7 linked regions of the Macaca mulatta genome follow. The protein of the gene in region 1 interacts with the protein of each later gene in a pairwise test. Links are inferred from orthologs where the notes say so. Each region holds a gene or a part of one and is shown in the gene's direction. Other genes may lie near its edges.

Region 1 (4,149 bases):
GCACCAAGGCGAAAGTGGAAGACCTACACGTGTGAGACAAGAGTGGGTGGGGTCGTGGGGTCAGGAAAGCCTCATCCACCGGCCAAAATCATGGGGAAGCCAAGCCACACCCCCAGGCACGTCCACGGGGCTCCTCCCTCCCCCTTCCAACCACAGTTTATAACTAAGCCTCAGCCTCTCCGAATTCTAAATTTGCCCTTTCTTTACCCAAATCTGAGCCCCACCCACTCCCAAGGGAATTTCTTTAGGTCCTAAGGTAGGACCGATGCCCCACCCTTTCCCCCAATACAGAAACCTAAGGGTCTCCCAGGGGAATTACCTTAGGCCCCTCCCATCCACCTCAGAATATTCCGCTTCATGGAAAAACTCAATTCCAGGGACATTTTCTTCCAGCCACGCCCCTTGCCCTAAAATATTTCCTTTTGGCCCCACTGCCTTCCTAGCTTCCATCCCAAACCAGTGCCCAGGGGAACTGCCCCAGGCCCCAGCCCTTCAGCAATGTTATCCACTCAAATCCCACTCCTCGCTTTGCCACTGTCCCTCCAAGCCCCGCCCCTCATTGTTTATTTAGCTCCGCCCCTCTCCGATTCCCCAGAGGCCCCGCCTCTTTGTCCCATCGAAGCCCCACCCCTCAGCTAAAGGTTGGCTTAGCCCCGCCCCTTCTCACAATGGGCTCACGAAATCCCACCCATCGTGACGACAGTGGTTCTAGCCCCACCCACTTAGAGGGCTGCCTCTAAGCCCCGCCTTCTCCCCTGTCAATCTAAGCCAGTCCCCGCCTCAGCAGGTGCCTGGTTTAAAAGGAAGGAAGTTGGGCTGTGAGCCAGAGCAACGTGGAGCAGGGAGGGTGGAGGAGGGTAGAGGGGGCAGGCAGAGAACTGCTACCCGAACGCCAGCCGTCCACACGCGGCTATGCGCCAAGGGCCAAAGCGCATGCTACGTCTTCCGAGCTGTCCAATTGCTTTACACCTCCGCCTTCTTGGGGATCAGTGCGCATGCGCGGACACTCAGGGCCCGCGCTCATTCATTACGGGGCACTGGTAGGCTACTGCGCAGGAACAACCAAGCACGCACAGAATCGTTTAGAAAAAGACCACACCCTCCCTTGGAGTGCGCAGGCGCAGCCACACGCCGGCTGACAAACATCGAGTCTCTAGAACTCTCCCACCCGGCTCCGGGCCCAGTGCGCATGCGCAGCCGCGCGCCTTCGGCCCACCGTACCTCTTCTGCGCCTGCGCGACCGTGATTCCCCGCTCGCAGCTCCCCTCCCCCCAGGGCTCCCTAAAGAGGGCCACGAGCTGCGAAAGGGCGGGAAAGGCGGTTGGAGAGGGACAAGTAAGCGGTTACTCACTCCATGGCTGCAGAAAGGAGAGGCGGCGGCGGCCTCGGCTGAAGAAAGAAGGTGGGAGCGGAGAGCGCAGGCGTGGTAAGCGCGGAGTCGGGCTGGGGGCACAAAGGGGTCGAGGCTACAGAGCCATGGCTGGGGCTACGCAGGCGGAGGCGGAGAACGCTGTAGTTAGAAGAGACCGTGATCTGAGGACGGGGAATGAGGCGGCCCCGGGGACTGGGGACAGAAATACTTCGGGTGGCGCAGCATGGCCCGCCCGGATCCTTCCGCGCCCCGCCCTCGCGGGGCCCCAACTGGGTGGCAGCCCGGTCCCCTCCTCCTGGGGATCAGGGGATCCGACCTCTTCCTTCCCACTCCTAGGGTCCAGGCCCCTCCTCCCTTTTGAGCCAGGGATCCGGCCCTCTCGTAGCTCCGGGGTCTGGTTTCCTCCTAAACTCTGGTTTCTTTCTTTTTCTGCCTGTGAGGTCTGGGCCTGCTTCCTCCTGTGATTTTGTGGATCCAGTCTCATTCTCTTCCCGGAGACCTGCACCATTTAATTTCTGTTTCCCTTTCCCTGCTTGCAGAATTTCCTGCCAGCCACACTTTTCATGTTTTCATCCCCCAACTGCTGACCCCGAGAAACCCTCGTGGGTTAGAGTCCAGCGTGAGTCACAGCACTCTCCCAAACACAGACCTACCAGGATGGCCTCGGGCAAATAGCTTAAGTTCTCTTGCTTCATTTCCCTATCCGTAAAATAAGAAAAATCAGCTCTCCTGGTGGGTTTATGAAACTCAAGACGGTGTCTGGCAAGCCTTATGCACAGAGTTCAACTCATACGTTCCTGTTCAATTTTTTTTTTTTTTTTTTTTTTGGTGAGATGACGTCTCTCGGTCTCTGTCGCCCAGGCTGGAGTGCAGTGGCGCGATCTCGGCTCACTGCAAACTCCGCCGAGTTCACGCCATTCTCCTGCCTCAGCCTCCAGAGTAGCTAGGATTACAGGCGCCCGCCACCACGCCCGGCTAATTTTTTGTATTTTTAGTAGAGACGAGGTTTCACCTTGTTAGCCAGGATGGTCTCGATCTCCTGACTTCATGATCGGCCCGCCTCGGCCTCCCAAAGTGCTGGGCTTACAGGCGTGAGCCACCGCGCCCGGCCTCAACATATTTTATTGGGGCCCAGCCTCACTTCTTCTTTCCCCCTTACAAGAGCCGCAGACGTTGGACTGTCTAACTCTTGCTGTCGTTCTTCTGTCTCCCTCATTCCTCTGAAGTGTCTGTTTCCGGCCATCCTCATCTTCCGTTCCAAATGATGGGTGCCCAGGCCCCATCCCCTGGCAGGGATTCAGACATCGAGGCCCCAGCTGCGTCCTTTTCTCCATCCCTTGCCCTTGGCTTCCTTTCAAACAGTCCTTAGCTTCCACGGGATAGGAACTATCTCCCAACCCTGCCAAAAATGGAAGATCTCCGTTTCCCTTTAGTCAGAGGGTAGCCATCTTGCCCCTTCTCATGCACAGGGCCCTCCACCAGCCGAGGTGGATGTCAGTCTTTTCTCTCTTGCAGAAACCCACTTTGTCCCATCCACGTCAGGACATCCCAGCTGGAGTTCAGCCTTCATCCCTTCTGTGGCAGTTAGGAGACTGAATCAAGGTCCAGAGAAGGTGGAGGAATCCTGGTATTGAGCGTTTTACACAAGCTTCTTTCTCCTCCCTTACTTGTCGCGGGCAGGAAGCCCTTCTTGGGATCTGACCACCTTCCCTTAGAGCACTTATTGTCCACTTTGCCAGCTTTTGAGCACCTGCCCTATATTTCCTTGAGCTTGTAGGGGTTGTGTTATCACTGAGACAGTATACAGAGTAGCAGCTAAGAGCATAAACTGAGCTTGTCCCATCCGTGGGCCTGCATGTGGCCCAGAATAGCTTTGAATGCAGCCTAATACAAATTCGTAAACTTTCCTAAACCATACGAATTTTTTGCGAGTGTTTTTTTTTTTTCCTTTTGAGCTCATCAACTATCATTAGTGTTATTTTATGTGTGGCCTAAGACAATTCTTGCGATGTAGCCCCAGGAAGCCAAATTTTATACATCCTTGGCATAGACTCTGGAGCCAGATTTATGAGTTCAAAACCTGACTGCACCCCTCTTATTAGCTGTGTGACCGTAGCCATTTCCCTTCCCGGTGCCTCGGTTTCCCCTGTGGTACAAGGTGGTGTTAAGAGTACCTGCCTCTGGGCCAGGCACGGTGGCTTACGCCTGTAATCCCACCACCCTGGGAGGCTGAAGTGGGCAGATTGCTTGAGCTCAGGAATTCGAGACCAGCCTGGGCAACATGGTGAAACCCCGTCTCTACAGAAAATACAAAAAAATAGCTGGGTGTGGTGGTTTGTGCCTGTGGTCCCAGCTACTTGTGAGGCTAAGGCAGGAGGATCACTTGAACCCTGGGGTGGGGCAGAGGTTGCAGTAAGCGGAGATTGTGCCACCACACTCCAGCCTGGGTGACAGAGTGAGACCCTGTCTCAAAAAAAAAAAAAAAACAAAAAAAACAAAACTGCCTGCCTCATAGGGCTGATTAAATGAGTTAATCCGCGTCGAGCAGTTAGACTAGTGCCTGGGACACAGTAGGTGCTGCATAAAAGTGGTTACTGTTACTGCTATAATTAAGGTGGATGTGTTCTCATTCCATTGCTGTGCAGTAAGTCCAACTTCCTTCCACTTCTCAGTATAGGTTTTTGAGCAAAAGCAGATGGAATTAAGGGTAGACTGTTGGACAGACTGCCAGTGGTAAGGACGCAGAGACGTGCCCTACCCCAGCCCCCCACCGGCAG
Region 2 (2,605 bases), on another chromosome or scaffold:
AATGTTTTGCTGTAGGATCTATTAAATCTGTGAGTGGTTGAAGATCAAGCCTTCAAATAATCTCTGAATGTTTTTCTGTAGGATTTATTAAATCTATGAGTGGTTTAAGGAGAGGTCAGTGTGTATAAAGTGTGTTTGAACATTATGCCAAATATCAAAATATGAAGGACTAATTCAGAATGCAAAAATGTTACGGCAGGTTGTAAATATGAACTATATAAGAGTTTAGTATGCAATTATGAGTGTAAAGAAACTGTGCCTTAAAAAGAACCAGCATGTTTACCAAATAAGTGTACAAATGTAAATGTTTAGGAACAATCTAAATACAAGAGATTGGAAACAATTTAAATATCCATCTTTGGGGGGACTAATAAGATAAAATATATTCATATAATAGAATATAATATAAAAGAATAGTGGCATAACTAAGATATATGTTATATTTTAAAAGCAAAATGTAGATACTTGTGTGCTAGTATTTTTGTTTTTTAGAAAGAAATACATGCACATAAATATGAACATGCATCTGGGTATATACAATATATATATATTCATATAGATTTTCAGTTATATGACCTGAAAACCTCTGGGAGAAAATATAAAGAAAAGTAATACAGCATAGTTATAGAAGTCAGCAGGAGGAGGAAGAATTTTTATCTTTTTCACTTTTTTATGGTTAAAATCAAAATGACCCCCCAAAAATGTATTAACTAGGAAACTTCCACTTATGTTGTCTGTACATTCTACAATGTGCCAGAATGAAAGGATATGAAAATAGCCAAATATTAACAGCTTTTTTGTAAAACTTTTTTAAAAACTACATTTAAGTCTTTGACTTTCCTGAAATCTTACACTAAGTGTTCATTGGAAATGAATACATTGTTCATAATATCCCTTTATCTCTGGATACACGATTGATTTTCTCTAACTGCACTATAGAGTACATAAGAATTACCTAATAAGCTTGTTAAACTACAGATGCCTGAAACCACCCCTCACCCCAAAGATTCTGATTGAGTGGGTCTGGGATGAAGCCTTTGGTTTTTTGTTTGTTTGAGACAGAGTCTCGCTATGTCGCCCAGGCTGAAGTGCAGTGGTGCTATCTTGGCTCACTGCAACCTCACCTCCTGGGTTCAAGTGATTCTCATATCTCAGCCTCCAGAGCAGCTGGGACTATAGGCTCACGCCACCACGCCCAGCTAATTTTGGAATGGAGCCTTTGAATTTAAGTTCCTAATAAGCTACCTAGTGATACTGATACTGTCAGTTCTGGGGCCACAAATAGAGTAACACTGCTATTGACTACAGTGCTATGATTTGTAAATCTGAGTTACTACTGTAAGTCTTATTGAAACTAATAAAACTTCAAATCTAACTCCACTGTATGTTTTGACTCAAAGTTAATCATTTGACTTAATTCCATACTTTCTTTGTTTAGTAAGAAGCCATTAATGGTTATTCATCACCTGGAAGATTGTCAATACTCCCAAGGTAATTTTAGTCCCTGAGCTCTTATTATAATACATAATTTTCCAATATAAAATAGGAAAAGTGACCTGGTAATAATAGCTAAGAAGGCACTCAGCAAATCTCATTAAAAAAAAAAATTAGACAACTGCCAGAGTACCATCATTTTATTAAAGTGCTTAAAGACCACAATGATTGTTACCAATCTACTGAATATTTCTATTATATCCCCTTAGAAATTAGATATTCCTCTTCTTCCCATGAAAAGAGAGGGGTGAGCTGAGAGGGTGGAGAAACACTGAAAGAAAAAAGTTGTTGTCTTAACCAATGAGTCAATGAGTTACATAAAATTATAAAACTAGTGTCTTCACTGTGATTATCCTTTGATGTCTCCTTGAACAGACTGTCCCTCATTGCAAAGTGGCAATAGGCCAATGAACTATTAATATTTACACTTGAGTTATATATGCAAACAAATGCTAAATATTAGCTTTATTTTGCTATGCTACATTAAAGTTCTCTTGATCCTTAAAACTAACAGACAATTTTGTTTTCCCCTATAGCACTAAAACAAGTATTTTCCCAAAATGAAGAAATACAAGAAATGGCTCAGAATAAGTTCATCATGCTAAACCTTATGGTACATAAACTTTATGATGTTTTCTTAATATTATAATTTCATGGAAAATTTGAATCCCTTTTTTCTTTTTTTCTTTTTCTTTTTCTTTTTTTTTTTTTTTTTTTTTCAGATGGAGTCTCGCTCTGTCGCCCAGGCTGGAGTGCAGTGGTGCGATCTGGGTTCACAGCAACTTCAGCCTCCCTGGTTCAAGTTATTCTCCTGTCTCAGCCTCCCGAGTAGCTGGGACTACAGGCACCTGCCACCATGCCCAGCTAATTTTTGTATTTTTAGGAAAGATGGGGTTTCACCTTGTTGGTTAGGCTGGTCTCAAACTCCTGACCTCAGGTGATCCACTCACCTCAGTCTCCCAAAATGCTGGGATTACAGGCATGAGCCACCACACCCGGCCTCCTTTTTTTCTATTTTTAAAGCACAAAGAGCTAAATGTTGGTTAATAGAGGAAGTTATGTGGAATTATAAAAGGCCAAAATAGAATTTACTGACAGTCTAGTTCACACA
Region 3 (3,500 bases), on another chromosome or scaffold:
AGTAGACCAAACCCTGGGGCATCTAGGGTTGCATTTTGTGACTCTATTATGTTAAACACCCATGTCATTATTTTTTCTATATTTTCTTGTAGAAATGCTTGAAATAAACATCATTTTTGACATAATAGTCACTGCAGCTGGAGATAAACTAAATCCTTGTAAATACCTATCCAATTGAAAATGTCATTCTTGGCTGGGCGTGGTGGCTCACGCCTGTAATCCCAGCATTTTGGGAGGCCGAGGCAGGTGGATCACCTGAGGTCAGGAGTTCAACACCAGCCTAGCCAACATGGCAAAACCCCATCTCTACTAAAAATGCAAAAATTAGCCAGGCATGGTGGTGGATGCTTGTAACCCCAGCTACTCGAGAGGCTGAGGCAGGAGAATCGCTTGAACCTGGGAGGCAGAGGTTACAGTGAGCCAAGATCGCACCATTGCACTCCAGCCTGGGCAACAGAGCAAGATTCTGTCTAAATAAATAAATAAATAAATTTTTAAAAAAGAAAATGTCATTCTTTCTCATGTATTTTCCAGATTAAGGATGCTCAACTGCAAAATGCTCGATGTGTCCTGCAAATTGATAATGCTAAACTGGCTGCTGAGGACTTCAGACTGAAGTAGGTTCCCTAATATGTGGCAAAAGTTTCTGAAAAAGAATTCCTTTAGTAGTCCTTCCAGATAATCAGCTTTCCATATCATTGTTGGTAAAGGAACCACGGTTCAATGTTTCCAGAATCCTGAAGCCTAAAGGAGGTTAGAAGCTACGTGTTAGAAGCTAGCCCAGCACTCAGGGATGACCTTCTCTCTCTTGATCCCCTGGCATGTAACTGAACACCTCCAGTCACTACTATTCTCCTTTGTTATTACTGGTTGCTAAGTTTCTTTTTTTTTTAGTAACCTGGTATCTACCTTTTAACCCATTAAACCTAATTCTGCCCTTTGGAGTAATAAGAAAGCAATTTACAGTTCTCCTTCTCCCTAAGTGTCTCTCTGTTATCTAAAGAGAGTCTTAAGTCTACCCTTGGTGATTCTCCAAGTAATTCTCCATGTTCATTCAAGTACCTGCAAGTGTATGACCCAAGTTCCAGGGGTGACTCTTGATGATTTCTGGTTTGCCAGTGTTTTACAGGATGGTCTGGCCAACCAAAGAATCAGGACCAATCTATAATAATTAACCGGGTGTGGTGGCACATGTCTGTAATCCCAGCTACTTGGGAGGCTGAGGCAGGAGAATCACTTGAACCTGGGAGGCGGAGGTTTCAGTGAGCCGAGATCGTGACATTGCACTCCAGCCTGGGTGACAGAGTGAGACCTTGTCTCAAAAAAAAAGAAAAAATTGTGTTTACTTTCTCTGTAGTCATCACACCACATGTGACCAGAGCTGTTCCTTACAAACAGCTTCCACACTAGGGCATCTTCATCCTGAATTTGTACAATGCATTAACACCAAAAAGCCTTTTGTGGTTAGAAGAGTAGCCTTTTAATGCTCCAAGAGATTAACTAGAAGGAAATAGGAAATCAAATCCAAAGATTAAAGCAGTAAAGGTGCATTAGTTACAATTTTACCTAGCACTGAGTGTCCCATTGCATTGTCACTTTTTAAAGCTGGATATTTTAGGAAATTGGGCAGGGCGTGGTGGCTAATGCCTGTAATCCAGCACTTTGAGAGGCTGAGGCAGGCGGTTTGCTTGAGTCCTGGAGTTTGAGAACAGCTTGGGCAACATGGCGAAACCACGTCTCTACACAAAAATACAAAAAAAGTAGCTGGGCGTGGTGGCATACACCTGTGGTCCCAGCTACTTGGGAGGCTGAGGTGAGAGGATTGCTTGAGCCCAGGAGGTTGAGGCTGCAGGGAGCCATGATCGCATCACTGTATTCCAGCTTGGGTGACAGAGTGGTACCCTGTCTCAAATATACACACACACACACACACACACACACACACACACACACACACACACACATATATATATAGTGAGAGAGACAGAGAGCGTATGTAAGATTGTAGAGGAGGATGTAGAGCTGTTTGAGATAAGTCACTTTGGATGCCTCAGTTCACAAAGTTATAAAAATAAATTGATCATGTACATTCATTAAGTAAAAGTATTTAATATCAATAATGAGAACCCTTTGCCAACACAATAATTAACACAATTTAATTTCTTGTAAGATAAATTCTAGAATTTAGAAGTGCTCAAAATTATTTCAGATTGCCTTTTTCCAGTCACTCCAAATTATAGAGATTATATTATTGAGCAAATTGTCTGATTCCTAGGTTCTTATGTACATTTCATGAATGTATAAAGGCAGACATTATAAAGTTTTGAAATTGATCTCCTCATAAGCCACATTTAAAAACCTATCTCATTATATTAGATTCTCTCTCTTATAATGGCTACAGAAGGACCAGTTATCTCTGTATACTAATTAATTCCCAGGTATGAGACCGAGAGGGGAATACGCCTAACGGTGGAAGCTGATTTCCAAGGCCTGAATAAGGTCTTTGATGACCTAACCCTACAAAAAACAGATTTGGAGATTCAAATTGAAGAACTGAATAAAGACCTAGCTCTCCTCAAAAAAGAGCATCAGGAGGTGAGAAAATATTCAGAAGTGGTATTGGAAACGATGGAATGGTTCTATATAATAATAATAATAGGAGGAGCAGGAGAAACAGGAGAAGGGGGAAGAGTTGGTGGTGGTAATGACAGAGATGATGATGATGACAATAGTGATACAAGCCCCGCCTTCTTTTCATAATGTTGTTGTAGGTTAAATGACTTAGAGCAGTACCTGGACCACAATAAGCCCAACACAAGTTATTATTTTATTTCTTTTTTACTCATTGCCAATGAAAGAGGTCATGAGACTTCTTATGTCTTTTCTGCCCAACCTTATCTGAGAATGTGCTTCAGACTAAAATCAATCCGAATTTTCACTTTCATAGGAAGTCGATGGTCTATACAAGCATCTGGGCAACACTGTCAATGTGGAGGTTGATGCTGCTCCAGGCCTGAACCTTGGTGCCATCATGAATGAAATGAGGCAGAAGTATGAAGTCATGGCCCAGAAGAACCTTCAAGAGGCCAAAGAACAGTTTGAGAGACAGGTAACCGCACAATTGTAAAGTGTGAGCAAATGTGTAGAAGCTTTCCTCCAGAAAGAGATAACTCAGTTTCTTCTTCATTTGTTCATTCTTTCTTTCTCTTTCTGTCTTTTCTTTCTTATTTCCATCCCTCAACTGTTTGTTTTTTTTTCACTCGGCACTTTGTAGACTGAAATTCTGCAGCAACAGGTCACAGTGAACACTGAAGAATTAAAAGGAACTGAGGTTGAACTAACAGAGCTGAGACGCACCTCCCAGAGCCTCGAGATAGACCTCCAGTCCCATCTCAGCATGGTAAAGCACATCTAACTTCTCTTTCTCAATCCAGTATGTGTTTACCAAGGTCCTCTGTTAGGAACTTAGAAATGCAAAGACCTACAAGAAATAACCCTTC
Region 4 (3,500 bases), on another chromosome or scaffold:
AAAGGTCTTGCCTGAAACTAACATATTTCTTCCACCTCTGTTTCCTTGGCCAGAGCCAGCTACGTGGCCTTGGCTTAACTCAGGGCAGGGAAGTGTGATGCCACTGTGTGCTGAAAGGGTTTGCAGTGTAGTATGTGAATGACGTCTTCACTATGCTGACTGTGTGCAGGCACTGGGTTGAGCACTTTGTATACATTATTTCATGTAACTTCCTGTGTAACCCTGTGAGGTGTGTCTTATCCTCATTCCACAGTGTCTTGAAATGAAGTTTGGAAAGTTTCATTTTTCTTATCTTGACTTTATACTTTGAAAAAAAAATTCCAAACCTACAGACTAGCTGAAGGAATAAGAAAACAACTGCATCTCTCTCACCCAGATTCACTAATTGTGAATGTTTTGCCACATTTGTGGTCTTTTCTGCAACACACTTTTTCTTAAAAGCCAGCTGTTTAAGTTGCAGATAATTGACACTTCATCCCTGAATCCATAACCTTTGTATCTATATAGAACAAGATATTAAACGTTGTTACAATAATGTTATTTAACATGTAGGCACATTAACACTTTTCCCCAGTTGTTACCAAATTGTTCTTTTTTGCTTTTAAAAAATCCAGGATGTGATCTAGGACGGTTTCATTGTGTTTGGTTGTTATAACTCTGTAGTCTCCTTTGGTCCAGAAGAGCATGCCCACTTTTTGTCTTTCGTGACATTGGCATTTTTGAAGCATCCAGGCCTGTTTTCTTGTCACATGTCTCATAGTCTTGTTTTGCCTGATTGTTTCCAGTAGGTTGTGGTGTAGTGGTGCATATTCGTGTTCGCATTTCCTCTTGCGTTGTTTCTGTTTGTTCCATCCTTGGTGATGCTCAGTCTGGGCGCCTGATGGGAGTAGGGCCTGCCGGTCTGTCCATTGGGAAGGTGCTTGGCAGGTGTCATTGCTCAGGACTGTAGAGAAAGTGGGCCAGGTCAAGAGTTGGACTTGGGTGTGAATGGCTCCAACTCCTGTGTTCTGCACCACTTTGCCGCATTGCCTCTTTCTTCTTGAAACCTCCCCCCGCCCGCCAAAAAAAGAAAAGAAAAGGAAAGAAAAGAAAAAAGGTTCTTAATAGTTTTATAATGTCCTGTCTCATGGAAGTAAAGCAGTTACCTACTCATTCTCCTATTATTACATACTTATAGTGCTTTCAATTTTTGACTTGTACATTTTTTAAAAATACATCTTTTGTCCTCGTTTGAATTTCCTTAAATGCCAGAGGTCAGATTTTGGTTTCTTGACTGTTGGTTTTTCACCCTAAACTGCTTCCCCTGTTGCCTGTGCGTTCTTGAGGAAGTGGCTGCCCTGAGTGCGGTTTCCTGGCTTAGTGGAAGTCCACATGCTTGTAGTTGTGGATGACTCCCTCCTCAGCAGTGTGGGTGAGCCTTTCCTTTACTCTCCAGTGTCACTGTGATGGGGGACCAGGCCTGTGACGAGAAGCGTCTTCCTTCATCCTCAGCCCTGTGAGTGGGGCAATGCTCTCTTTCCACATTTTCAGATGAGGCAGCAGCAGGGCCAGGCCTGCCTCCATCCACCTCCTGAGCATGTCTTCTTTCTGCCGTATCCCCTCCTTAAAGCTGCGGCAGTCCCACAGAGGCTGCTGAGCACTGGGGTTCGGAGGACCCAGAGAGTGCTCCAGGTGGGGGGCAGCTCTCAGCCCAGCTCTGGCTCAGCCTCTGGCGTTCGCCAGGGTTGAATCTGCTAGGCTCAGGCTGAGCCATGGGTGTCACCTTGGGGAGGTTGGTAGGGGACTCTGCATCTTAAGGGGGTGACTCCACTCGCTCTGGGAACAATGGCAGCATCCCCGTCCTGGACCTTCTTAGATGGCTGGCACACTGCTAGCATCGTTCAGGACCTTGTCTCTAATCCCCACTGCGGCGCTGCCAGGGTGGGGTTGTCGGCTCTCCCAGATGGATGAGGGTCTTGCCCACGGCACGTAGCCTTCAGATGATCACCTGTGGTTCATAGTCAGGGCTCTCTGACCCCTGGCCTGTTTGTGGCCCACTACATCTGTTTTCCCTGTGTGCCAAATGGAGTCAAAAGTCATCTCAGGGTTAGCATTATATATTGTCAATAACATAATAACAATAATTATATGCCTTATCAAGCTACAAACCTAATAGGCCAAAGATGGATCAGGCAGGTTGTTCCTGCAGCCAGCACCATTACATGTGCATGGCAGGTGTTTGTGGGATTACTGGACTGGAGTAGTGTCCCACTGAGGGACAAGGTTTGAGCTGCATGTGTCCATCCTGGCCTGTGACCTTATGACACTCATTTTCTCACCAGTCTATTCACCATCTTTTAGATTTGATTAAATCCAAGGCACCCAACCTGGGGGTGCATTTATTTATCTTTTTTCTTCTGTGGACTTGTTGCTGATGGCCAGAGGCAAAAACCTGAGCAGGCAGGCATCTTCTCCCCAATAGACACTCCAGGCGTCTGGAGTCCTGGCAGTAATAATAGTAAAAACAAAAACTAAAACATAAAGAGAGGAGAATTTATATTGTAATCAAGAGACTGTTCCTTTAATGAGACCCGTGTGATCATCTTCTTGGTACCTTTGCAAGTTTCCTCCCTCTCCCTTGTGTCTCCTCTTGCGTGCTTTCTCCCCAGACAGCTTATAACCTGCAACTCATCTTGATTTGCAGCCAAAGTGATTATCCACCAGACACTCAGCGTCTTAGAAGATATTGTGGAGAATATCTCGGGGGAGTCCACCAAGTCTCGACAGATTTGCTACCAGTCGCTGCAGGAATCCGTTCAGGTCTCCCTGGCCCTCTTTCCAGCTTTTATCCATCAGTCAGGTAGGAGCTGGCCCAGAGCCCCACTGGTGGGTGGTGCTAACAAGGGCCAGAATGCCCACTTAGATCTGTAAAGCACACTGAGTCAGTGCAGTACAGGCCTCGACCGGCTCCGTGCAACGAAACCCGGTACTGAAGGGAAAGGGCAGTGGTGTTTATTTGCGGAGTCTGGGGCCAAGGCCCTATGGAAAAGTGAGCAGAGCCCTCCATATGGGCCTTGGCACCTACAAGAGAAGGCTAGAGAGCTTTTTTGGCTTAGTTCTCCTTATTTTGTGGCAAGGCGCATTTGCCGAGATCATTCCCCTCACCCTTGTCTGTCACTGTCAGTGATAGAGGGCCTCTCTAGCTCTGTGGATGTACTTGCCCAGCTCTCATGAGAGCATTATAGTAGTCTTGTCAGTTTTACAAGAGAAATATCAAGCACTTCTCAGTCAGCAAATATTCATTGCCTCTTGCAAGCAGATTGCGTGCAGTTAGAGCTGAAACACTACACAAGATGATTGTTGAGATCTGGAAGTGAAACTGCCCTAAATGTAAGCAGTATTTTCTGCAATTAGTCCATTTAATGGACCAGGGGCATGCAATCTAAATACACCTTCATTATCCACTTTCAACCACTCAACCTCTGACCCAACTGCAGGGATTATTAGTCATAGGGGGAAAT
Region 5 (3,063 bases), on another chromosome or scaffold:
TTCCTTCTAAATCAGTTGCCAGCCTTTGTGTCTCATACCAACTTCCTTTTTTTTTTTTTTTTTTTTTGAGAAGGAGTCTGGCTCTGTCGCCCAGGCTGGAGTGCAGTGGCCGGATCTCAGCTCACTGCAAGCTCCGCCCCCCGGGTTTACGCCATTCTCCTGGCTCAGCCTCCCAAGTAGCTGGGACTACAAGCGCCCGCCGCCTCGCCCGGCTAGTTTTTTGTATTTTTTAGTAGAGACGGGGTTTCACCGTGTTCGCCAGGATGGTCTCGATCTCCTGACCTAGTGATCCGCCCGTCTCGGCCTCCCAAAGTGCTGGGATTACAGGCTTGAGCCACCGCGCCCGGCCCCAACTTCCTAGTTGTTTCATTACCAACAATTGTTCTACGACCTTCGGAAAAACTTCTAAGGAAACAGCAAAGCTTCTTTGTGCTGGTGATGACTTCCCCTCAGCCTTGGACATTGAGATACCCAAGGCAGGTAGTTCTTAGCACAGTGTCTGGCTTGTAAATGTTTATCATTATCATGAGGCTCTTCTTGATGGGTTAATTTAGATAAAGATAATTTTTGGTTTAGCGAAATTAAGATGCAGGATGAGTCCTTGCCCACCACTTCCTTCTCTTGGATTTGTACCTTGGGGACTAATTCAGCTTAAAAAATTATGAAACATTTCACACTTGCATGGAATTAAACTAGTTATGATGACCTACCACCCAGGTTCAATCCATTGCGTGTGCCCCCTACCTCCAGGAGAACAGAAAGATGTGCTGCGGACAGGGTTTGACTTTGGTACCAGGCAATCACAGAAATGGTCTGTGTAATGATGCATTGCCAAAAGTCCTCCAGGCTTAAAGCAGTCTGAACTCGGATTGTTGCTGGGTTTATTAGATTGTCTCTAGGTACTTGGAGACTTTACTACGAGCTGCGGTAGGTGTTGGAAGCATCTACTTGAACAGTTTCCAGATGAAAGTGAACTTTGCCGTGCTGCTGGCGATGCAGCTGCAAGCCTTCATCATCCTGTGTTTTTCTGTGGGTGCAGACCCGGACTCTCCTGAGGAAACCCCACGCGGGCCCTAGACACTCCTTGGCCTCCTCCAGGGGCCTGTTTAAGCTGCTCAGTTTTCATGAGCCAGGTCGGTCCTACTTTTGGCACAGCCAGCTGGTAAAGCATGTGGGTCTGCCCGTCATTGGTGCTAAATCAACACTCCTGGGCTTGGAGAGGATGACTTTGTTTTGGTTTGGTTTTTTGAGATGGAGTCTCACTTTGTTGCCCAGGCTTGAGGGCAGGGGCGCAATCTTGGCTCACTGCAACCTTCACCTCCTAGGTTCAAGTGATTCTCATACCTCAGCCTCCGGAGTAGCTGGGATTACAGGCATAAGCCACCATGCCCGGCTCATTTTTATGTTTTTAGTGGAGACAGAGTTTCACCATGTTGGCCAGGCTAGTCTCCAATTCCTGACTTCAGGTGATCCACCCGCCTCGGCCTCCCAAAGTGCTGGGATTACAGGCAGAAGCCTCTGGCCAGAGAGGATAACTTTACTCTTTGATGCACAATAGTGAGCGAAACACAGGTTGTGAGAAATAAGCTTAACAGGTTGCTTTAAAAGATAGTCATTTAATGCATTCTTGGGGCAAGGTCCCTTTAGATAATTGATGGAAGCTGTGCGTTCTTCACTTGTATAACAGGACAGGATTGAGGGAGTTGTCTCTACTAGGCACAGCAAGTCCTTTGGGAATGAGGGGAGGCATGGAGGGTCAATGACCTGTGCCCTCTCCAGCTCTCAGATCTGGCTCGAGAGCACCATGGCTAAGGTGGAAGAGGCTGCCGCCCGGCTTCCCAGCCTCAACAACCGACTCAGCTATGCTGTCCGCAAGGTCCACACCATTCGGGGTGCGTAGGGCAACTGGGAGCCATGTCCCGCCCCCGCCCCACCAGCTCGGACTTTCTTCTTCCTGACCCAGCTCTGTGATCCCACATCCATTCACCTTCCTCCTTTCACCAGCCCTCGCATCTCTTTTTCCCTTACTCCCTGTCCCCCACTTTCTCCCATGCAAACTTCATCTCTTTTTCTCCCTGCCTTTTCCCTCCCAGGCCTGACTGCTCGAAAGCTTGCCCTTGCTCAGCTGCGCCAGGAGAGGTGAAGTTTGGGCACTTTGAGGTGGATGGGGCTTTAGAGCATTGGCTACTGGGACCCCCAAAACCATGAGAACTGAGGCAGGATGGGTGCTTTGGGGTCAGGCAGCTGGGTGATTTCTCCTGACTCTCTCTTCCCTGTCCCAGCTGTCCCCTACCACCACCAGTCACAGACGTAAGCCTTGAGCTGCAGCAGCTGCGGGAAGAACGGAACCGCCTGGATGCAGAACTGCAGCTGAGTGCCCGCCTCATTCAGCAGGAGGTGGGCCGGGCTCGGGAACAAGGTACACCTGGTTGCCAGGGGGGTGGCAAGGATGAGGAAAGACCCGGTGTCTAGGGTGCTAGGAGAGGCCTGACCCAGCACCCCCTCCTTTTAGGGGAGGCAGAGCGGCAGCAGCTGAGCAAGGTGGCCCAGCAGCTGGAGCAGGAGCTGCAGCAGACCCAGGAGTCCCTGGCTAGCTTGGGGCTGCAGCTGGAGGTGGCACGCCAGGGCCAGCAGGAGAGCACAGAGGAGGCTGCCAGTCTGCGGCAGGAGCTGACCCAGCAGCAGGACCTCTACAGGCAAGGTGTCGAGAGGGAAAGGGGTGCTTCCCTTGGACGGTGGCGTGGGAATTGCAAATCAAAGCTCCTGCTGATACGCCCCGTCTGCACTTTCACCCCAGCCCTGCAAGAGAAGGTGGCTGAAGTGGAAACTCGGCTGCGGGAGCAACTGTCAGACACAGAGAGGAGGCTGAACGAGGCTCGGAGGGAGCATGCCAAGGCCGGTGAGCCTTGCCAGGGTGGATAGGGCCTTCCAGGAAGAAGGAAGTGTTAAGACATAGGTTATTATTTTCCCCTCCAAGTTTTTTCAAAGCTTCATTACAGGAAGTAATGGAGGTATCCATGAATAGCACAGAAGATTTCTCACTTCATGAACACACCCATGTAG
Region 6 (3,492 bases), on another chromosome or scaffold:
TGCTAGAAGTTTTTTATGCAACTGGCAGCACAGTCTGTTTACGGCGGCGTCCCCACAGACATGTGAGTGAACGTGTGGCTCCATGGCCCTAGGATGGTTGCGGTTGTCACTAGGCGACAGGAATTGTCCAGCTCCATTATACTCTTATGGGACCACCATCCTATATGCAGTCCATTGTTGACTGCAGTACTGTTATGTGGCACACAACTGAGCATTTATGGGTCTTTATGTATCATCACAAGCTCTTACACTGAATATAAAACTATCTCTTTCTATTTTCCTGCCTTAATTTTTACTTTCTCTGATTAATGTATTTCTCTGACATTATTTTACGTGTACACAAATGCACACACACACACCTTAGCTACCAAAACATAAATGTAACTCTGCCGATCCAAACTCAGCAGAAAATCAAAGCACCGTAGTGACTGAATGAGAACAAGGAAACTTTTCTCCCACTCAGTATTTCAATAAAAGTAGCATCTTATCTATTCAGTATGCTCTTCTTTTTCCTTATTTTTTGGCTATTGGGTTTATGCTAATTCATTAAGGTCTGAAGAATGTACTTTATTTGAATTATTATTCCACGGATAGCAGGTTTTTTTTTTTTTTTTTTTTCCTTTTAGACAGGGTCTCGCTCTGTTGCCCAGACTGGAGTGCAGTGGTGTGGTCTTGGCTCACTGCAGCCTCCACCTCCCAGGTTCAAGTGATTCTCCTGCCTCAGCCTCCCAAGTAGCTGAGATTACAGCGTGTGCCACCACACCCGGCTAATTTTTGTGTTTTTGGTAGAGACGGGGTTTCACTATGTTGGCCAGACTGGTCTCAAACTCCTGACCTCAAGTGATCTGCTGGCCTCAGCCTCCCAAAGTTCTAGGATTACAGGTGTGAGCCACCTGGCCTAGGTTTCATTTTATTTTACCTACAAGTGTGAGCCACCTGGCCTAGGTTTTGTTTTATTTTCTAGGTTTGTCTTCAGACTGCCTTTGGGGTGGGCCTCCTTATGGGTTAATTGCAGAGGGTGCTGATATTAGTGCAAGAAGGGCTGGGTGCAGTGGCTCATGCCTGTAATTCCAGCACTTTGGGAGGCTGAAGCGGGAGGAGGAAGCCAGGAGTTTGAAACCAGCCTCGGCAACAAAGCAGGACCCTAACTCTACCAGAACAACAACAAAAAAATTTAGCCCAGTGTGTTGGTGCTTGCCCATAGTCACAGCTATCAGGAGGCTGAGGTGGAAGGATCACTTTAGCCTGGGAGTTGGAGGATGCAGTGAGCCGTGATCACATCCCTGCATTCCAGCCTGGTGACAAAGTGAGATCCTCTATCAAAAAGAAAAAAAAAAAAAAAAAAAAAAAGGTGTAAGGACACAGGAGCTCAGTTTTCACATTGTTTTTTAGCTTAAGGATTCCAAAGTGATTCATTGCTAATCTCTAATGGGCAGAGAAACACACAAACAAAATAAAACATTCACTGAGTCCAGGTTCCTTTTCCTGGTGAGGTCTGTCTCTTAGGGGAGGAGGGCGATAGATTTTCTTACAGTGTGTCCTTGCCTGCAGACAACAACTCTGGAACAAGCTATTAAAAGTGCCCATGAGTGTTATGACGATGAGATTCAGCTTTATAACGAGCAGATTGAGACCTTGCGCAAGGAGATTGAGGAGACAGAGCGGGTCCTGGAGAAGTCTTCTTACGACTGCCGGCAGCTGGCGGTCGCCCAGCAAACCCTGAAGAATGAGCTGGACCGGTATCATCGTATCATCGAGATTGAAGGCAACAGGTGAGAGTGTGCCCTCCCCATCCGGGCCACTTATTCCTTGCACAACTCTTTGTTGAGTGTCTATTATGTGCCAGGCACAGTTCTAGGAAAGTGGGCATGTGGCAGGGAAGGAAACACAACAATTCCTGACCCCATGGGTGCTGGAAAACTAATAGGGGAGACAGAGGATGAAGGTACCGCCAGTGCCGAGGAGGAAGCTCTAGCAGGGAGGAGGGCGGTGGCGATGGGGGTGATGGGAGAATGCTTGCAATTTTAAGTAGGGTGGTCAGAAAAGGCCTCACTGAGAAGCCAGCGTTTTGCTCATAGGCCTCTGGAGACATAAATGTCCCAGCAGGTGGGATGCCCAGGAGTATTTAATGAGGTGCTGCAGGTGAGCTACCTGGCACAGAGCCTGGCACTCGAGGGCACTCAGAGGTGTTGGTGGTGCTCCTGCTGCCATTCTCATGATTCTTAGCACCTTACTGGGTCAGTCTGTGGCTGTCACTATGTGGCTGTCTGGTCTCCTCCATAATGGAGCTGTGACTCGATCCCTACTCACTTTAAGACAGCTGGGAAGTTCTCTCTTTCTCTCCAGCTATGTCCATGTTCGTAGCTACAGTGATTTTCCCGGAGAACAGGCTGGGAATTAATTTGTGATTCTTCACTCCAGTCTTGCTAAATTCCTGGGTTTCGATTGAATGAAAAGAGAAGCCCTCCACAACTGAGGTCCCCACCAGGAGCAGCTCCTCCCTTCGCCCTGGGGGCTCTGTCTTGGCTGTGCACAGACAAATGCCTGGCAGGAGAAGCAGGATTTTATTTTTCTTTCTCCGGTGCTGCTCAGTGTATCTGGCATGATTCCACATGATATTTATGTCACAGTGAACACTTTATGCACACATCTGCAAGAATAAGTCTGGAATTGGCATTTTAATGACTTTGTAAACATTTTTGTTTTGGGACAGGGCTTCACAGAAAGCTGACTGGATACCTCTTTTATTTATCTATAAGTTCTGATTTTGGTCTAATTTTAAACTGATAGAAATGTTACAAGAATAGAACAAGGAACTCCTGAATACTCCAGATTCACCAGTTGTTTATATTTTATTTCAATTGCTGTTATCATTTTTCTCTATTTATATATGATATGTGTGTGTGTGTGTGTGTGTGTGTGTGTTTGTGTGTGTATACATATATCTTAAATTGGAGACATCATACCCTGTTTGCCCTAAATACTTCAGCCTGAGTTGGCCACTCTTAATTTAAAAAATCAAAAAGGCAAATCAAAAGGCAAAAAACCAAAAAGGCAAAAACACCAAAAAGGCACTGTCTCATGGAGAAGTGGCGTTTTTAGGTTATAAGCAATCCCTACTTTATACTTTTTTATAGGTATGTTTCACAGTTTATGACTCTTGAGCTCAAAGAAATGATTATTTCCTTTAGGTCCTCATCCAGTGTGTAAATGTGTGTATGGCTGTCTGTTTAAAACGGTATCTAATTTGTGAGCAATTTGGTCTAGAGAAAGCTTTTTTTTTCCATTTTTGCTCAACATTAGCGAGAGTCACTCTTGCCCCTGACCATCTGTTTGGCTTGTTTTTTCTGATTCTTTCTGACAGGCTGAGCTCTGCCTTCATTGAAACTCCCATTCCCCTGTTCACCCAGAGCCATGGGGTCTCTCTCAGCACTGGATCCGGTGGGAAAGGTAACGCTCCCCAACCCTGGGCCTCTGTTTTTTTCTGTCTTG
Region 7 (3,942 bases), on another chromosome or scaffold:
CGCGCCTGGCTAATTTTTTGTATTTTTAGTAGAGATGGGGTTTCACCATCTTGCCCAGGCTGGTCTTGAACTCCTGACCTCTTCATCTACCTGCCTCGACCTCCCAAAGTGCTGGGATTACAGGGGTGAGCCACTGCGCCCGGCCTTTTCCATTCTCTTTAAAGCACTTCACACAAGTTATGTTACCGGTTTACTCACCAATATTGGCAGGAAAGGGAACTTCATGTACTGCTGGATCCAGGTTGATCACATAAGGTGGAGTGCCTTGGGCATGCAGGTGTCCTGTGAGCCTCTGCAGAGATATGGGGAGAAGGTTGGAAGGAGACAAAGAGGGGACAAGAGAGAACTTCCTTTACCACCCATGCCTTAAGAGTTTTGCACTTAGATTTTCTTTTACCTGAAATATCCACCCACTATATCCACCACCAAGATACAACTCTCAGTTCAAATGCTACCTTTCTTCATCACCCATCTAACAAAACTTCCCCTACTCATAGTCACTTGTTTACTTGTTTTGATTCTTCGTATGTGGGTTTTCTCTATCTCCTCCATTAAATATTTAGCCCCATGAATGAATCTTGTCAACCTAATTTTCGCTATATCCCCAGTGAATGGTACATGACAGGCGTGCAAGAAATAATTCTTCGGCAAATCTTCACCAAAACCTGTGTGCTAGCACTGTATTAATCTCTAAAGTTACTTGTAAGCCCCTGCCTTCGAGAAACTGGCAATTTTATCAGCAAGACAATTCCTGTACAACGTGGTAAGCTGACCGAGTATGCACTGAAGGTGCACAGAAGACAGCCTTAATTAACCTGGCTAGGGCCCGAGGAGGCTTTGCCGGGGAAGGAACTAAAGTTGATGGGAAACGACCGAAACCCATGCGCCGATACCCTCCAAATCCTCGGAGACCTCCCTCCCTTTCTCCCTGGCCTTCCGCCTGTCGGAGGCAACCTTTTGCGCTCCCCTACTACACCCACGCTGTGTACGTCACCTGTACAAAGGTGGTTTTCCCGGATCCCGCCATTCCCAACACCAACAGACACACTGGGTGCCGCGGACCCCCAGAAGCCTGGGGCTCAGCTGCAGCTGCGGGAGCCGCCATCTTCCTCCTGGCCCCGCCCACCTGACCATAGAGACACCGCATGGCTAGAGAAACTTCCGCGATGTTCTGGGCAGCGAACGAAAACAGAACCAAAGCGTCAGAAAGGAGCGTGAAGGGGCGCGGTAGTTGCCAGGGCATCTTCTTAGTATCGGGCAGGGCTGGTGAGCCAACTAGTGACAGTGGCGAGGAAGTGGGGGCGCTGAGCAAGCGAGAGGAAGGCTGAAGGGAGCTAGGAAAGGGCTCTGATCTCTGCAGCCTGGGAGGGCTTTTGGCCCCAGGGGGAAGGCGAGAAGAGATGGGGTCCCGAGGGCAGGACTCACACAGCAAGAAAACGAGGCGCATGCCTCTCATTTCGAGCCCGCAGAGAGCGGGGAGCGGAGCCACTGGAGGACCGGCTGCTCGGGTTTATTCGGTAGCCGAGGCGGTTAAACAGTTCAGGGCTGGACCAGCCAGGACTGGAGCAGGGTGCAGCCTCCAGGGTTGCTGGGCAGCACCGAGACCCTTTGAGCACCGAACGGATAAACTACGGGAGTTTTCCGCACTTGCACGTTGTTCCCGCGAGTTGCAGGCGCAGGTTCCTGATGCTAGCGCTCATTCCTTGGTAATCACCCTCGGTGAACTACGCAGTTGCCGTGACCTTCAGGATGAATGCTTGGATTCCAGGTGCGAATAGGTACTGGAGGGGAGCTTCCTTCTCACTGAAGGGCTCTCAGAAACTCAGGAAAGATGATGAAAGAGCTTAGAAAAGTATTTCTACTCGCAACCACCCAGTCTGTTTCTGTGGCCCTTTGTAGCTGCTAACAGTGTTCAGTAAGTCATAAGATCTGGCTTTCATACCCAGGCTCTGCCACTTGCTAGTGGTGTGAGTCATGGGCAATTCACTTAAACTCTCTGAACCTGTTTTCTCTTTTTAAAACTGAGATAGTACCTCCCAGGGTTGTGGTGAACGCACGTTGTAAATGATGAGCTAAATCCGTCATCTTTTACCACTAGCTGGATTCCCCTCACCTTGCATAATGTCTGGAACATTCTGGGTACTCAGAAATATTCTCTGGTATAAATAAAGGACAGTTGTGCACTTCCTAAAGTTTCATCAACTGAGAGAGGAATGTCTCATTTGTTCTTTCAGGTTTGCTGAGGGCCCCAGAAGGCTCCTTCCACCGTATCATAGGCTAATAAATAATTTTGTCAAGCCAGAGAAGCTAACAAAGGTGGAGACAATCCTTAAAGAAAAGATAGTGGCGGAAATGACGGTTCTGAACAAGCATATAAAACAAGCTCAAATCCAGCGGGAACAGCTACTGGAGGAATACAGGGAGCTATACCAAGAAAAGTTACTTGTCCAGGCTGAAAACAGGTTCTTTCTGGAATACCTGACTAACAAAACTGAAGAGTACACAAAGCAACCTGAGAAGGTATGGAACAGCTATTTACAACAAAGTGGAGAGATTGAACGAAGAAGACAAGAATCAGCCTCCAGATATGCAGAACAAATTTCAGTGCTTAAAACAGCGCTCTTGCAAAAGGAAAATATCCAATCCAGTTTGAAGCGGAAGTTGCAGGCAATGAGGGACATTGCTATATTAAAGGAAAAGCAGGAGAAAGAAATACAGACATTACAGGAGGAGAAAAAGAAAGTCCAAGCTGAGACAGCTGCAAAGACACGTGAAGTACAGGCCCAGCTCCTCCAGGAGAAAAGATTACTGGAGAAACAACTGAGCGAGCCAGACAGGAGGCTACTGGGAAAGAGAAAAAGAAGAGAGCTTAATAAGAAAGCCCAGGCCTTGAAGTTGGCAGCAGAGCGGTCTATTTTTGAATACTCCTGTGGCCTCAAAAGAGAGAACCAGCAGTTCAAGAAGGAATTACTGCAGCTAATTGAGCAAGCCCAGAAACTAACGGCTACTCAAAGCCACTTAGAAAACAGGAAGCAGCAGCTGCAGCAGGAACAGTGGTATCTGGAGTCCTTAATCCGGGGGAGGCAGAGATTGCAAGGAAGTCATAATCAGTGCCTAAATAGACAGGATGTTCCAAAGACCACACCCAGTCTTCCCCAAGGCACCAAATCAAGGATTAATCCAAAGTAACTCCTCCTAAAATAACACTGATTAGATAACTGGAGCAAGTACTCTTAAGTGCTATATTAACCTGGTTAGGAAGGCTTTTGGATTCCAGATTGTTATTGTAACATCTCCATCATGAGTGTTAGAGTGGAGGATTAGATGGTTTTATCCAACAGTCCTACTAGATATTTGGTAACCAGCTTCCCTTAACTAGTTTTTTCTTGAAATACTCTTGTTAATAAGATATTCCACAAACCTCTAGTTAACCTAACACATGACCCTAACCTAGCCATTTACCATACATCAAACTAGCTAAAGGAAACCAACCCGAGGAAGTGAAAACAGTTGTGATTTATTTCATCTAACTAGATTTCTTTATAGAGAAAAAGTACCTTTAAGGATAGCATTCCAAATAGACTGAATAGCGTTCTGCTCAGTAAATAACCAGTATCAGTTTATCCTCATTCCTTTTGACCGACTTAGCAGACAAAAGCAGTTTTTATAAGATTTTTGTAAGTTTGTGCCAGTGACCAGGTAGCTCCTAGTTTTCTCATGAGCGAAAAAGCATTCTGATAACAGCAAGTCCAGTAAGTGCTAGGCAGAGTGACCTTTCATCTGATGTGAAGCCCCTACAAGTTTAGCTTTAAGTAAATTGAGAAGGTAAGAGAAGACGAAGGAGACATCTATTAGGTCAGCTCTTACATTTGAAAATGTTTTCTTTGAAGAAACACATGTAGCATGGAGGTGACTGAATGCCTCCCCTTATTTCAGGAAAAT

Evidence for each region.
Region 2: the proteins of NUP62 (region 1) and AGR3 interact in binary tests that used the Homo sapiens proteins (3 or more experiments, as listed by UniProt). The two-hybrid records come from large-scale screens. The link is inferred for Macaca mulatta from reciprocal best matches to the Homo sapiens genes NUP62 and AGR3.
Region 3: the proteins of NUP62 (region 1) and KRT20 interact in binary tests that used the Homo sapiens proteins (3 or more experiments, as listed by UniProt). The two-hybrid records come from large-scale screens. The link is inferred for Macaca mulatta from reciprocal best matches to the Homo sapiens genes NUP62 and KRT20.
Region 4: the proteins of NUP62 (region 1) and XPO6 interact in binary tests that used the Homo sapiens proteins (3 or more experiments, as listed by UniProt). The link is inferred for Macaca mulatta from reciprocal best matches to the Homo sapiens genes NUP62 and XPO6.
Region 5: the proteins of NUP62 (region 1) and CCHCR1 interact in binary tests that used the Homo sapiens proteins (3 or more experiments, as listed by UniProt). The link is inferred for Macaca mulatta from reciprocal best matches to the Homo sapiens genes NUP62 and CCHCR1.
Region 6: the proteins of NUP62 (region 1) and BFSP1 interact in binary tests that used the Homo sapiens proteins (3 or more experiments, as listed by UniProt). The two-hybrid records come from large-scale screens. The link is inferred for Macaca mulatta from reciprocal best matches to the Homo sapiens genes NUP62 and BFSP1.
Region 7: the proteins of NUP62 (region 1) and CCDC121 interact in binary tests that used the Homo sapiens proteins (3 or more experiments, as listed by UniProt). The two-hybrid records come from large-scale screens. The link is inferred for Macaca mulatta from reciprocal best matches to the Homo sapiens genes NUP62 and CCDC121.

The regions. Positions count from the first base shown.
Region 1 is NC_133424.1:62,390,486-62,394,634, reverse strand, and holds the start of NUP62 (nuclear pore glycoprotein p62), read left to right. Parts: upstream 1-1,349; 5' UTR 1,350-1,426; exon of another isoform or gene 1,427-1,548; intron 1,549-2,887; exon of another isoform or gene 2,888-2,999; intron 3,000-3,744; exon of another isoform or gene 3,745-3,889; intron 3,890-4,149. UniProt on the Homo sapiens protein: Essential component of the nuclear pore complex. The N-terminal is probably involved in nucleocytoplasmic transport.
Region 2 is NC_133408.1:111,410,803-111,413,407, forward strand, and holds part of AGR3 (anterior gradient protein 3), read left to right. Parts: intron 1-1,438; coding exon 1,439-1,491; intron 1,492-2,030; coding exon 2,031-2,107; intron 2,108-2,605. UniProt on the Homo sapiens protein: Required for calcium-mediated regulation of ciliary beat frequency and mucociliary clearance in the airway. Might be involved in the regulation of intracellular calcium in tracheal epithelial cells.
Region 3 is NC_133421.1:65,262,822-65,266,321, reverse strand, and holds part of KRT20 (keratin, type I cytoskeletal 20), read left to right. Parts: intron 1-534; coding exon 535-617; intron 618-2,438; coding exon 2,439-2,595; intron 2,596-2,947; coding exon 2,948-3,109; intron 3,110-3,274; coding exon 3,275-3,400; intron 3,401-3,500. UniProt on the Homo sapiens protein: Plays a significant role in maintaining keratin filament organization in intestinal epithelia. When phosphorylated, plays a role in the secretion of mucin in the small intestine.
Region 4 is NC_133425.1:27,658,247-27,661,746, reverse strand, and holds part of XPO6 (exportin-6), read left to right. Parts: intron 1-2,683; coding exon 2,684-2,839; coding exon of another isoform or gene 2,840-2,865; intron 2,866-3,500. UniProt on the Homo sapiens protein: Mediates the nuclear export of actin and profilin-actin complexes in somatic cells.
Region 5 is NC_133409.1:151,917,831-151,920,893, forward strand, and holds part of CCHCR1 (coiled-coil alpha-helical rod protein 1), read left to right. Parts: intron 1-1,779; coding exon 1,780-1,892; intron 1,893-2,093; coding exon 2,094-2,139; intron 2,140-2,282; coding exon 2,283-2,419; intron 2,420-2,512; coding exon 2,513-2,701; intron 2,702-2,797; coding exon 2,798-2,899; intron 2,900-3,063. UniProt on the Homo sapiens protein: May be a regulator of keratinocyte proliferation or differentiation.
Region 6 is NC_133415.1:66,512,169-66,515,660, forward strand, and holds part of BFSP1 (filensin), read left to right. Parts: intron 1-1,551; coding exon 1,552-1,772; intron 1,773-3,364; coding exon 3,365-3,450; intron 3,451-3,492. UniProt on the Homo sapiens protein: Required for the correct formation of lens intermediate filaments as part of a complex composed of BFSP1, BFSP2 and CRYAA. Involved in altering the calcium regulation of MIP water permeability.
Region 7 is NC_133418.1:97,366,458-97,370,399, forward strand, and holds the start of CCDC121 (coiled-coil domain-containing protein 121), read left to right. Parts: upstream 1-1,142; 5' UTR 1,143-1,400; coding exon 1,401-1,768; coding exon of another isoform or gene 1,769-1,778; exon of another isoform or gene 1,779-1,910; intron 1,911-1,956; coding exon of another isoform or gene 1,957-1,976; exon of another isoform or gene 1,977-1,991; intron 1,992-2,234; coding exon 2,235-3,189; 3' UTR 3,190-3,942. Other genes in the region: GPN1 (GPN-loop GTPase 1), read right to left, coding at 199-292, 995-1,105.